Mus musculus: one gene and its partners. The protein of the gene in region 1 interacts with the protein of each later gene in a biochemical or structural test. Links are inferred from orthologs where the notes say so. Each region holds a gene or a part of one and is shown on either strand. Other genes may lie near its edges.

What was found.
Region 2: the proteins of Tmed10 (region 1) and Copz1 form a complex in vitro, tested with the Homo sapiens proteins (2 studies listed by BioGRID, with this or other methods). The link is inferred for Mus musculus from reciprocal best matches to the Homo sapiens genes TMED10 and COPZ1.
Region 3: the proteins of Tmed10 (region 1) and Copg1 form a complex in vitro, tested with the Homo sapiens proteins (2 studies listed by BioGRID). The link is inferred for Mus musculus from reciprocal best matches to the Homo sapiens genes TMED10 and COPG1.

The regions. Positions count from the first base shown.
Region 1 is NC_000078.6:85,339,991-85,343,744, reverse strand, and holds the end of Tmed10 (transmembrane emp24 domain-containing protein 10 precursor), read left to right. Parts: intron 1-195; coding exon 196-317; 3' UTR 318-3,131; downstream 3,132-3,754. UniProt on the Homo sapiens protein: Cargo receptor involved in protein vesicular trafficking and quality control in the endoplasmic reticulum (ER) and Golgi.
Region 2 is NC_000081.6:103,293,337-103,296,986, forward strand, and holds part of Copz1 (coatomer subunit zeta-1), read left to right. Parts: intron 1-1,385; coding exon 1,386-1,441; intron 1,442-3,196; coding exon 3,197-3,274; intron 3,275-3,397; coding exon 3,398-3,449; intron 3,450-3,650. UniProt on the Homo sapiens protein: The coatomer is a cytosolic protein complex that binds to dilysine motifs and reversibly associates with Golgi non-clathrin-coated vesicles, which further mediate biosynthetic protein transport from the ER, via the Golgi up to the trans Golgi network.
Region 3 is NC_000072.6:87,908,417-87,912,066, forward strand, and holds part of Copg1 (coatomer subunit gamma-1), read left to right. Parts: intron 1-119; coding exon 120-217; intron 218-1,247; coding exon 1,248-1,386; intron 1,387-1,623; coding exon 1,624-1,722; intron 1,723-3,650. UniProt on the Homo sapiens protein: The coatomer is a cytosolic protein complex that binds to dilysine motifs and reversibly associates with Golgi non-clathrin-coated vesicles, which further mediate biosynthetic protein transport from the ER, via the Golgi up to the trans Golgi network.

The DNA of each region.
Region 1 (3,754 bases):
GCCTCTCAAGTGCTGAGATCACAGGTGTGTTACCATACTCACTTTTGCTTGCTTGCTTTAATTGTTTGAACTCTGAGACCTATGGACAGAATGAGGCTAACTAATTGTCTTTACGCCCTAGCCATTGTTTAGCCAAACTGAAGCAACTTAACTTCATTCCATTTACAGTGTTTTTGCATTGTTTTGTTTCTTTAGAGTCCACGAACACCCGGGTCCTGTACTTCAGCATCTTTTCCATGTTCTGCCTCATTGGACTAGCCACCTGGCAGGTCTTCTACCTGCGTCGCTTCTTCAAGGCCAAGAAGTTGATAGAGTAATGAGGCTCAGTGTTCTGTCCCCTAGAGCCAGCAGAACATCGCTGGGACATGCCTGGCCTAGCCCAAGGCCATTCTACTAACAGTACCATCAAGGCACAGCTGAGCTTTCTTGCCAGAACTGATACTTTTGGTATGAGAGCACATGGGCACCACCTATACCCAACAAGTCAATGAGGACTTTAATGCAGTAGGATTTGGACTGGTTTTGCAACAAGATTATTAAAGTCGCCTATGGAAAGAAAACAAAATAAAACAAAACAACAAACCGGGGTTACCTAGATAACGCCAAAGCCAGCCTTCGTCCTGGGTCGCCCGCCTCACAGGATCTGTTTGAGCTGTTTGCTTTTTCTCTCCCACCTGCTCATCGCCTTGTCCTTCACTCTAGTTCTCCTCCCAAGATTTCTCTGACTGCGGTCAGCTCTTTCATATCAGTTGTCTCTTTGGTTTCCTTGTGAAAACACCTTGAACTTCTCTTGGTCCTTAGATGAAATGTTTACATAGCTTCTGGTGATATCCTTCATAATTTTATGTCTCCTAAAAGGGTCATGGGTGGGACACATTAAAAGGTGAGCTTTGAACTGTAGATAATCTCTTAAAAAAATCTCATTTTAGACCATTAAAATGTTTGTGCTCAACTGCTTGAAGTCCTTGTGTATGTGTGTTTAGTTCTGTCCAGTTTATCACTTGTAGATCCTGTCGATCATTTCCAGGTAGAGTAGTTCCATCCCATGGTCTTCATTTGCAGTGTTGCAGCTAGCCACTCCCTTCTCCACCCCCCCCCCCACCCCCCCCCCGCTCTGGCTCCCTAATCTGCTGCCCTGTTCTGAACTCTAACTCTGTTATGTAAATGGGTCATCTAGAGTGTAACCTTTGGAGGTTGGCTTTCTCCACTCAGCATAATTCCCATGAGGTGCCTCTCCAAGGCGGTGCACATCCTGGTTTTCCTCCAGGCTATGGATGGTACTGCATTGTGCTTAAAGGTCATGTGGGTGGCCTGGGGATTGGGCCTAACTATTAAAGTTCTTAGGTGAATGTAAGTTTTCATCACTCCGGGATAAATACCTAAGAGGGCCGTTGCTGTGCTGTGTAGGAAGCACATGGAGTTCTAAAGGAAGCCTCCCTGCTCTGTCTAGAGTGGCTGTATGGCAGGTTACAGCTCTACATTCTCTGTGGTCTTTATCATTGCTATTTTAACTTCTCCCCTTGAGTGGATGCCTGTAATATCTCATTATGGTTTTAATTTGCATTTTCCTAATGGCAGATGGCGTTGAGCATCCTTTCTCATTCTTGTCGTTTGCCATCTGTCTGTCCTTGTCAGTGAGATGTCCGTTGGTGGCTTTTGCCCATTTCTATGTGGGTCATTTGTTCACTTCACTGTTGAGTTCTGTGTGGGTTCCTCTATCAAATGGGTTGTTGCTTGAACTTTTCATATAACTTCTACCAGGAAAAATAAGTAAATTTTACCAGCCCTTCATGTATGGTCAATCACTGATCTAACTCCTGTTCTTCAGTGTTATCTCTGAGATGTGGATATACGGGGTTTAACTTGGACATCTGGGAAAGTCACAGATAGTAAATACTTGAAATATATATGTTGTAAAATCAAAGCCAAGGTTCATTCGGTGGAAGTTTTAGGTACCTCAAGGCAGTTCTGGAAAGTGTACCCCAGTTTACAGTGCCTACCTACCATACAGAAGGCTCTGGGCCTGATTGCCAGTGGCGGGGGCGGGGGTGGGGTGGGTACAAATGCTTGTAAACAGGAAAAATACTTGTTTATCATCTAAAGTCTTTCCCACTTCTCCTGGGAAAGTGGGTAACCTTTTAACCCTGCTGACCTGTTACAGGGCTTATCTCAATTGCAGTTCTGAGAATTACAGGGCTTGCAGTAAAGAAGTGGAATATTGAAGTTACCAGAGAATACCGTTAGGATGACCTGGATGAAGTATGCAGGTGGATGGGAAAGATGTAGTGGTTAAGTCTCAGGCTGTGCTGTTAAGGTTCCAGTTACTATGAACTCAAAAGCCTTTGTCTTATGACTTCCATAAATTCCTCTTGCATGGCATCAAGTGTTCTCTGGTACAATAGTGCCATCTGCTGTTGAAAAATGATCTAAGATCTAAGATCTTAGAATACAAGTCCTCACCATGGCAACAGCAGATGGTCAGAAATCTGTAACATTCATATATCAAGTGATAGGAGAACAATGTAAGTATGAAAAGAATAAACTTTGGGGTCAAAATCCATTTGTAGACTTTTAAGTGCAAAACCATAGCCTGTCTGTCCCATTAGCCTAACAAGAGACTCCTGTTTTCTGACGTGTGCCTTCCCCCCTAAGGAGCAGTGACAGCCGCTCTATTAGATTTCTATTTTCTTTTCTGAAAAATGTCAATTTTTCAGAGAGGAGAAAATAGAGCATTCTGTCCATGTTTTTGTTTCCAAGAACAAGTATAAACTTAAGCTCTGTAGAACTGAAATTCTTTCAAGTCCTTTCGATCATTTTGATCATGCCCAAAACAACCAAACTGGACAACATGCTTTTCAGTTCAGTTGAAGAGCATTTGCCTTTGACAGTAGGCGTGCACAACAGCATATCCGCTTTATAAACAGGTATATTATCTGCTTCCCTCCGTTCCAGCATAGTCAAAATAACTGAGAATCATACAGTTTCAACAAACCTTGTTCCTTACCATTGTCATGAACCCCCATCAGAGCCATCTTCTGTTTGTTAATGGGAAGAGGCATGTGGGATTTATACAGGCTCACCTGTTGGAGATGTTTGTGTAAACTTTCACAAATAAAAGCTAGCAGAAACCATTTGAGGTGTATTTGTCTGTTAATCTTTAGTGCCCCTTTGTCTGGGTGAGCAAGGATTCCTCTATAATTGTTGTTTTTTAAAGCACAGGGAGTGAAAACAGATAAATTAAAGAAAAAAAAAGTCACTGATTTACTGCAGGGCACTTAAGCAAAAGGATGTTTTAATCATTATGCTAATGAAAGAAATCTTGAGCAGATTTCCTCAGAAGGCTAGAGCTTTGAGAGCCAGTAAGATGGCTCTGTGGATAAAGGTTTTGCCATGCAAATCAGGCAACTTGAATTCAATCGGCACACACACACACACACACACACACACACACACACACACACACACACAAAACAGAGCCCTAATCACCTACTCCTTTGCTTTAGTTTCCCACTGTCCACAGGAAACACCAAACTGTACAACATACAAAGTGTACTTCCTGCTTCTGCCCAACAAGTGTAATGGCGCCAGTCCCATAACCTTAGTTTCATCACGCCCTGCCCTTTCCTAATTCTGGGGCCAGACTGCAGGGTTTGCCTCTCAAGTTCCTCCTAACTAGCTGTATCACCTAAAACAATCCCCACCCCACCCCCAACAGACACATAAACATTGTTTTCATGGCGCTCTGAGGATCTGG
Region 2 (3,650 bases), on another chromosome or scaffold:
ATTAGTTAAAGATCTCTCTCTTTACTAATCCATCAGGCAGCTTTTTTTTTTTTTTTTTTTTTTTTTTTCCAGTTGTTTCCATCAGGCAGTTTGGTAAAGGCGTAGGGGTAGGGGCTGAAGAGATAGGGCAGCTGTTAAGAGCATTGGCTGCTCTTCCAGAGGACCTGGGAGATTCCCAACACCTACACAGGAGCTCATGACTGTCTTTATCACTCCAATCCCAGGGATTCTGGTGCCTTCTTCTGGCCTCTTTGGGTACTGCACACATGTGGTATACACACATAGTTTTAGACAGACATGTATATACATTAAATAAAATAATTATTAAAAAGACTTAGAGGCAGAGAGGGATGGCAATGCACTCCTATTATCCCAGCACTTGGGAAGTATAGGCAGGATAATCATCAGGAATTTAGGATTGACCTCAGTTACGTAGGTGGTTCAAGACCAACGGGGGCTATGTGACAGACTACCTCAAAAAAGCAAAACACAGGTGGAACTATTGCTTAGTGTTAAGAATGCTTGCTGTTCTTTCTGAGTACTTGAGTTTGGTTGCTAGCACCCATGCTGGGCAGCTCATACTCTTTGTAACTCCTGCTCCAAGGAGATCCAGTGCTCTCTTCTGGAATCCATGGGCACTCCTGTGCGCATGCATGTAAAACACACAGAGAGAAAAGTAAATCTTTAATAAAAAGTAAATACACAGAGTGCTATAATCGTCTATAGAGGACTATACCAGCAAAGTCCTGTTTCAGTTTCTGCCTTAAAGAAGCCTCCACTTGGGGGCTGATGAGATGGCTCAGTGGTTAAGAGCGCTGACTGCTCTTCCAAAGGTCCTGAGTTCAAATCCCAGCAACCACATGTTGGCTCACAACCATTCGTAACGAAATCTGATGCTCTCTTCTGGAGTGTCTGAAGACACACTACAGTGTACTTACATATAATAAATTAATTAATTAAAAAAAAAAGAAGGGCTGGTGAGATGGCTCAGTGGGTTAGAGCACCCGACTGCTCTTCCGAAGGTGCAGAGTTCAAATCCCAGCAACCACATGGTGGCTCACAACCATCCGTAACAAGATCTGACCCCCTCTTCTGGAGTGTCTGAAGACAGCTACAGTGTACTTACATATAATAAATAAATAAATAAATAAATAAATAAATAAATCTTTAAAAAAAAAAAAAAAAGAAGCCTCTACTTGTGGAATTGCTTAGTAGAACTAACTTCTTTGAGAAGCCAGAGTCCTTCTGCTGTTGTGTTTGCCCTTCACATTATGTCTCTGGCCGTTTGTGAAAGCTTATGCTTTTTGGTGAGGAATAAAAAGTGGAAGGTCTGTTTTGGGGTAGCAGTTTTAGGGCCTTGAACCTTCCTTCTCCTTTCTCAACAGCTGATGCTTATGGCTGTTCTGAACTGCCTCTTCGATTCCCTGAGCCAGATGCTGAGGTGAGCAGCCATTCTCATTTTAAATTTGGAAGGGAAATACCTATTCCTTAGAGCCCGGGATTAGTGGGAAATCTGAGCCACACTGGGGAATTGGTTCAGTGTAAGACATAGACTTGCTGTTTGTGGATAACTAATTTGAGTGGAGGGTTAGGTGGAGAGAATGGTCTTCATGTGGAATCATTCTCTTACTGAGGGAGGAAAGAGAGTCCTTCAGGAAGAATACTCTATTCTCTGTTTCCTTTGGCTGCCCTGATGATTAGAACCAAGGGTAGGCAACTGTTCTACCACTGAGCTTCTCACCTAAACTTTTTCTTTATTTTATTTTTCTTTTAATTTAAGACAAGGTCCTAGGGGGAAAAAAAAAAGAAAGAAAGAAAGAAAGAAGGAAAGAAAGAAAGAAAGAAAGAAAGAAAGAAAGAAAGAAAGAAAGAAAGAAAGATTGATTCTGAAAACTAATGTAAAGGAACCGTAATCCTGTCACCAGAACACATCATGCTTAAGATTCAGTTGGGAGCAGAGCATATCAGATGCTCTAAAATAATCGAGAGGTTGATTATCTATAGCTTTTCAAGCCTTTTTGTGTCTTGACATCAACTTTTAACCTTAGAGTCTTTGATACACAAATAAAAATTTACCCAGGCTGTCTTAAGATTCTATTTGTAACCCAGGCAACCCTTGAACATGTAACCCCTGCTTCAGCTTCAAGAGTAGTTTGGAGTACAGACTCGGACCTCGTCTGTATGCCTGTACCTACTCTTGTCATGTCCAGTAACTCTGATGGTGTTCTGAGCCCCAGATGCTTTCCTAGGCCTGTCCGCTGGGTTTGAAGGAGGGGAAGGCCAGGGAAGTGACCCAGTGACCCAGGTGAAACTTCCCTATCTTGGAAAAGGAGGAAACACCACAATTTTCCATTGCTAGCCCTTATAGTCTTTCCCTGGACACAGAATGGGCCCACTGTGCTCTTTGCCCTCTACCTCCCCAGTAGCCCTCTGTTCCCACGCACACAAGCAAGGGAAGATATAAGATACTTTCTCTGAAAACATTCAAGGCTCTGAACTTCAGCCACAGCAGCTCCTAAAAGTGAACACATTTTAGAAATCCATGTGGAGTAGAACAGCGGGTGCTCTCAGCCCACAACCCAGCAGCCAGAGGCTCAGGTTTCCTCAGGAAGGGGGTGATTTATTTCCCAGCCAGGTGAATGAATAGACTTCATTTCGGGTAATCTAGAGAAAGAGTCATACTGACGGATGTGACAGGCCACATGCACCAACCACCGGATCTGAGGCTGGTAGATGCAGCCCCTGGCTGTTCCCAGCCCCTCCTTGGCCTTTGTTTTAGGGTTTGAACAGACCTGGGGGGAGGGGAGAGGCAGAGAGACTTCAGAAGGAGCTTGAACGCAGAGGGTTTTGCATTCCCACTCCTCCCACCTTTCCACCATCACCAACTCCAGATTATGAGCTATGAATTTTTTTCCTATCTTCTATGTCTTTTTACAAGCACCTCCACCAGCAGCAGCAGCAGCAGCATGCTGGATAAGTAGCCTAGGAGTCAGAAGTTAGCTGTTTGGGATCCCCCCCAGAATGTCAAGACTCTGGTCACTGTTCAGTGGTATAAAAGGCTCTTTTTCACCTCACTCCCTTCTACATGTGGGTGGTGGAGGCAGTTACTGGTTAGGGTTAGGATCCCTTATTTAGACAGTATCCCAGAATTCCTTTCTCACACAACCTAATTTTTCCTCTTCTTTTGGGGATTCAGGAAAAATGTAGAAAAGCGAGCTTTGCTGGAGAACATGGAGGGCCTCTTCTTGGCTGTGGATGAAATTGTAGATGGAGGGTGAGTTCTCTGCCCTGCCCGTATTTGGAGTGGGGAGGGGAGGTGGCTGCCCCTCAGCTAGTGAACCTGACTTACAGCAAATTGGTCCCTTGGAGCAAACAACCGTCTTCTTTGTGTTTGTAGGGTGATCCTAGAGAGCGACCCCCAGCAAGTGGTGCACCGGGTGGCTTTGAGGGTAAGCAGGGATGTGTATCCCATCTCTCCACGGATCCTCCCAAGCCAGGCTTGCTGGGTGGGTGTAGCTGAGGGTCAGCTTATACATAGGTCCCACCTTCTCCTGTCCTCTTCACACGAATGTATCATTCTCCCGGCTTCTACATCTCCATGTCCCAGAGAAGCAGAGGAGCTCACTTATGTTTCTAACGTGGCACCTAGC
Region 3 (3,650 bases), on another chromosome or scaffold:
ATAAGGTGGTGCCTTCTTTGCCCAGCATGCTGGGGTTGATAGCACGTTAGCCGTTATTAATGCTGCCTGAAGGGCAGGTCATGGCCACCTGATCTTCATCCAACCCTTCTTCCCCACAGTGGCATGCACGTTCAGCTGTGTGATGAAGTTCACTGTTAAGGACTGTGATCCCAACACAGGAGAAATCGATGAAGAAGGCTATGAGGATGAGTATGTGGTAAGAGGATCCTGTCTGGGACTGAAGAGATGCATCAGCAGTTAAGAGGACCAAGTTCAATTCCTAGCACCCTCATAGTAATGAACTGTCTATAACTTCAGTTCTAGTGGATCTGATGCCAATTTTGGGCCTCTACAGGTGCTGCATGATTTTGGTTCACAGACATGTACAGATTTTTACAAATACATTTCTGATTTTTTTTTTTTTGTGGGTGGGGCGATTCGAGACAGGGTTTTTCTGTATAACAGAACCCTGGCTGTCCTGGACTCACTTTGAAGATGTGCCTGCCTTTGCCTCCTGAGTTCTGGTATTAAAGGCACGCACTTCCATGCCCAGCACATTTCTGATTATTTTCTTAGGATAATTCTTTAATTGGCTCAAAAGGAAAGCAAGATTTTTAAGACGTGAATTGCTCTTGTAATGTTGCTTTCTAGATAGCTAGGCCCCTTTGCTCTGCTGGGCCACAGTTCCTTAGTCACTAGCATGCATCTGACATTCACACTTGTGTAGAATAAGGACCAAAGTAGAGACGGCCATTCCTGAGCCAAAATGACTGAGGCAGGAACTGCCTTAAGACCTCTCCTCTCAGGAGCTATAGCTAGGGCGCGCCTTTCACTGGTTGCTGTATGCCCTGTAAACATCTGCAAGAACAGGTTTCTGTGAAGATCTGTTGGAAGAATGAACAAAGGAGTCCTTGCATGGACGCTGCTAGTGCAGGCTGGCTGAATGGGAGTGTTATGTCACATTCACAGCTGAGATGACAATAGGGTTCCGCCTATTTTGGGCCTGGAGGACACAGTTGAAGTACAGAATCTGCTGGAGAAATGACTTGTCGGTTGAAGCAGTGCCACTTACATTGTGTACCTCGGGCTTGCTCTGTGTCCTGAAGCCCACCATGTCCCCACAGTGGCAGGTATCTGCTGAGTGAGCTGCAGGAAGGAAGGGGGAAGGAGAGGAGTTGAGAGCAGAGGTCTAGAAATGTGGAACAGGAAGTCTCTCCCAAAGTCTAACTGTGTCTCCGCTTCTCTAGCTGGAGGATCTGGAAGTTACTGTGGCTGATCACATCCAAAAAGTCATGAAAGTGAACTTTGAGGCAGCCTGGGATGAGGTTGGGGATGAATTTGAGAAGGAGGAAACGTTCACCCTGTCTACTATCAAGACACTCGAAGGTAAAGTGCTGCTGACGTCATCTCTGACGATACTGTGGCTGGCCAGTGTGCCTTCCCGCTTCCCACCAAGAATCCAGAGCCTTAAGGGATACCTAGCTTGGGACTGACTGGGGGGAGGTGGGTGGGGGTGGGAAGTGCATACTTAATGTGTTAGGCCCAGGATTTCACTAGCACCCAACAAAAGCACACAAATACTCATATGCCTGTGGCTTAATGTTGCTGGGATTTTCCCTACAGAGGCTGTGGGCAATATTGTGAAGTTCCTGGGAATGCATCCTTGTGAGAGGTCAGACAAAGTGCCAGAAAACAAGAACACCCACACGCTGCTGCTAGCTGGTAAGAAACGTCTGTGGCCTGAGTAGCTTCACGGTGGGAGTGCCACTGGGTTTTGTCTGCCGCCATCCAACTTCCCCCACAGCAACACCTGTGTGCTCTCATAGTCCTGGCTAGGCCTTGTCCTTTATCCTATGGGATTGGCTGCAAAGGGTGTGGCATGGTGGCTCTGGTCATCTGAAAGCAGTAGGTCTGTGGTCTAAGGCTGAGGATCCAAATGCCATCTCCCCAGCCCCCGATGCACTTTTAAGGTAGTTTTTGCATTTTGAATGAAGTGTCTTCTATTCATATTTCTTTTTCAGTGACTTGTCTGATGTTCCTTTATCTAAGTATCAACTTTATTGGGGTTATTTTGTTGTTGTTTTTTGTTTACTTTATTAGAAGAGTGGGTGTGGGGCCTGGCCTGGTAACTCACTCCATAATTTCAGCATTTGAGAGACAGAGACAGGAACTTTTGTGTAAGTTAAAGCCAAGGGCTACATATTGAGACAGTTTCCAGAAAAACCTAAGCAAAGCAAAACAAAATTCCCAGTACCCATAGTTGACAACTGTCTGTAATTCCAATTCCCCTGGATCCAACACCTTCACACAGACATGTTGCAGTAAATTTCCAACCCTAATAAGCCCAGGTAATGAAAACACAACTCAGTTCATTTGAATACATGCTGTGCGCCTAGTTTGGGCAGATCTACCACTACACTAGCATCTTCCCCGTAGAAGGAACCCCTTGTAACTTGCAGTTTCTCAAGGCCAGGTGCTTCCGCTCTACCTTACTTCTCCATCCTCCTCCTCATCCTCTCCCCTCCCCTCCCCCTCTTCCTCTCTTTTCCATCAAAACCTTCAGCTTCACCTGCCCCTCTTTCTCTGCCCAATCACCGTCTCTAGCCTTTATTTATAAATTAAGGTGGGAAGCAGGTTTACAGGAAATCACCTGAGTGCTGACTCATTCCTTGTTCACAGCCACTCACAGGAGAACAGAATTAACATCAAATACAATTAGCCCCAGTGCCATCCACAACACAGACATACATGCATGCAAAACACCTACATAAACGTTTTTAAAAAATAAGTTAAAAAAAATGGCTGTCTACATTTCATCTTGGAAATTTCCCAACACATACAAAATTAAATGGTACATATAATGAACACTACTGCTTAATTCTTGAAGCACCTGCGCCCACTCTTCCCTAGAGTATTTTCATGCAACTTATTTTGTAATTCATATATAAATACTTGCTATCCTGTGTTTAGCTCAAAAATGGCCAAAGCTTATATTGCCCTAGACATTTGTGGAAATGGAGCTGAGAATGAAACTCAGTGATTAAGGCTAGGCAGATTTCTGCAGCACAATCTTCATGTATAACCCTAATTCCTTGAACTTGTAATTCTCTTGCCTCGGCCTTCAGTAACCCACCACACCTGACTTTTATCCCTCCGCAGGGCTGATGGTCAGACAAGGCAAGGCTAGGCAAAGCAAGCAGTCTGTTGTTGAGACACACCGAGCCTTGGATAGGTTTTGTGTGTGTGTGGGTGGGTGGGGATAGTTATTTTGGGAGTTGGGGGCTGGGTGTGTTTACAAACATGGTTGGGAAGGCGTTCTGCTTCAGTGAGTGCTCAGCAGAGCACTCTGGCCTTGATGAAGCAACTCAGTCCCCTGGGTCTGTCAGACAACTGCTTTGTGGTTTTTTTCTTATAGGGCTCGCCCCCTCATCCACACTCTCAGATTCAGCCACTGTCTGTGAGCCTCTAATATGAGGTATAAGCCTTACATACCCGAGCGTTCACTTGAGCCTGGCAGGAGGCTCAGGTGATGTATAGTTAGTGATGTATGCAGTGATTGATAGTTACTGCAGCACTATGTCCTTAAGGGTTCCAGAGCTCAGGGAAGCAGTGAGAGTTGTCCAGGCCTCCCAGTTGTGCCTCAGTGTGTG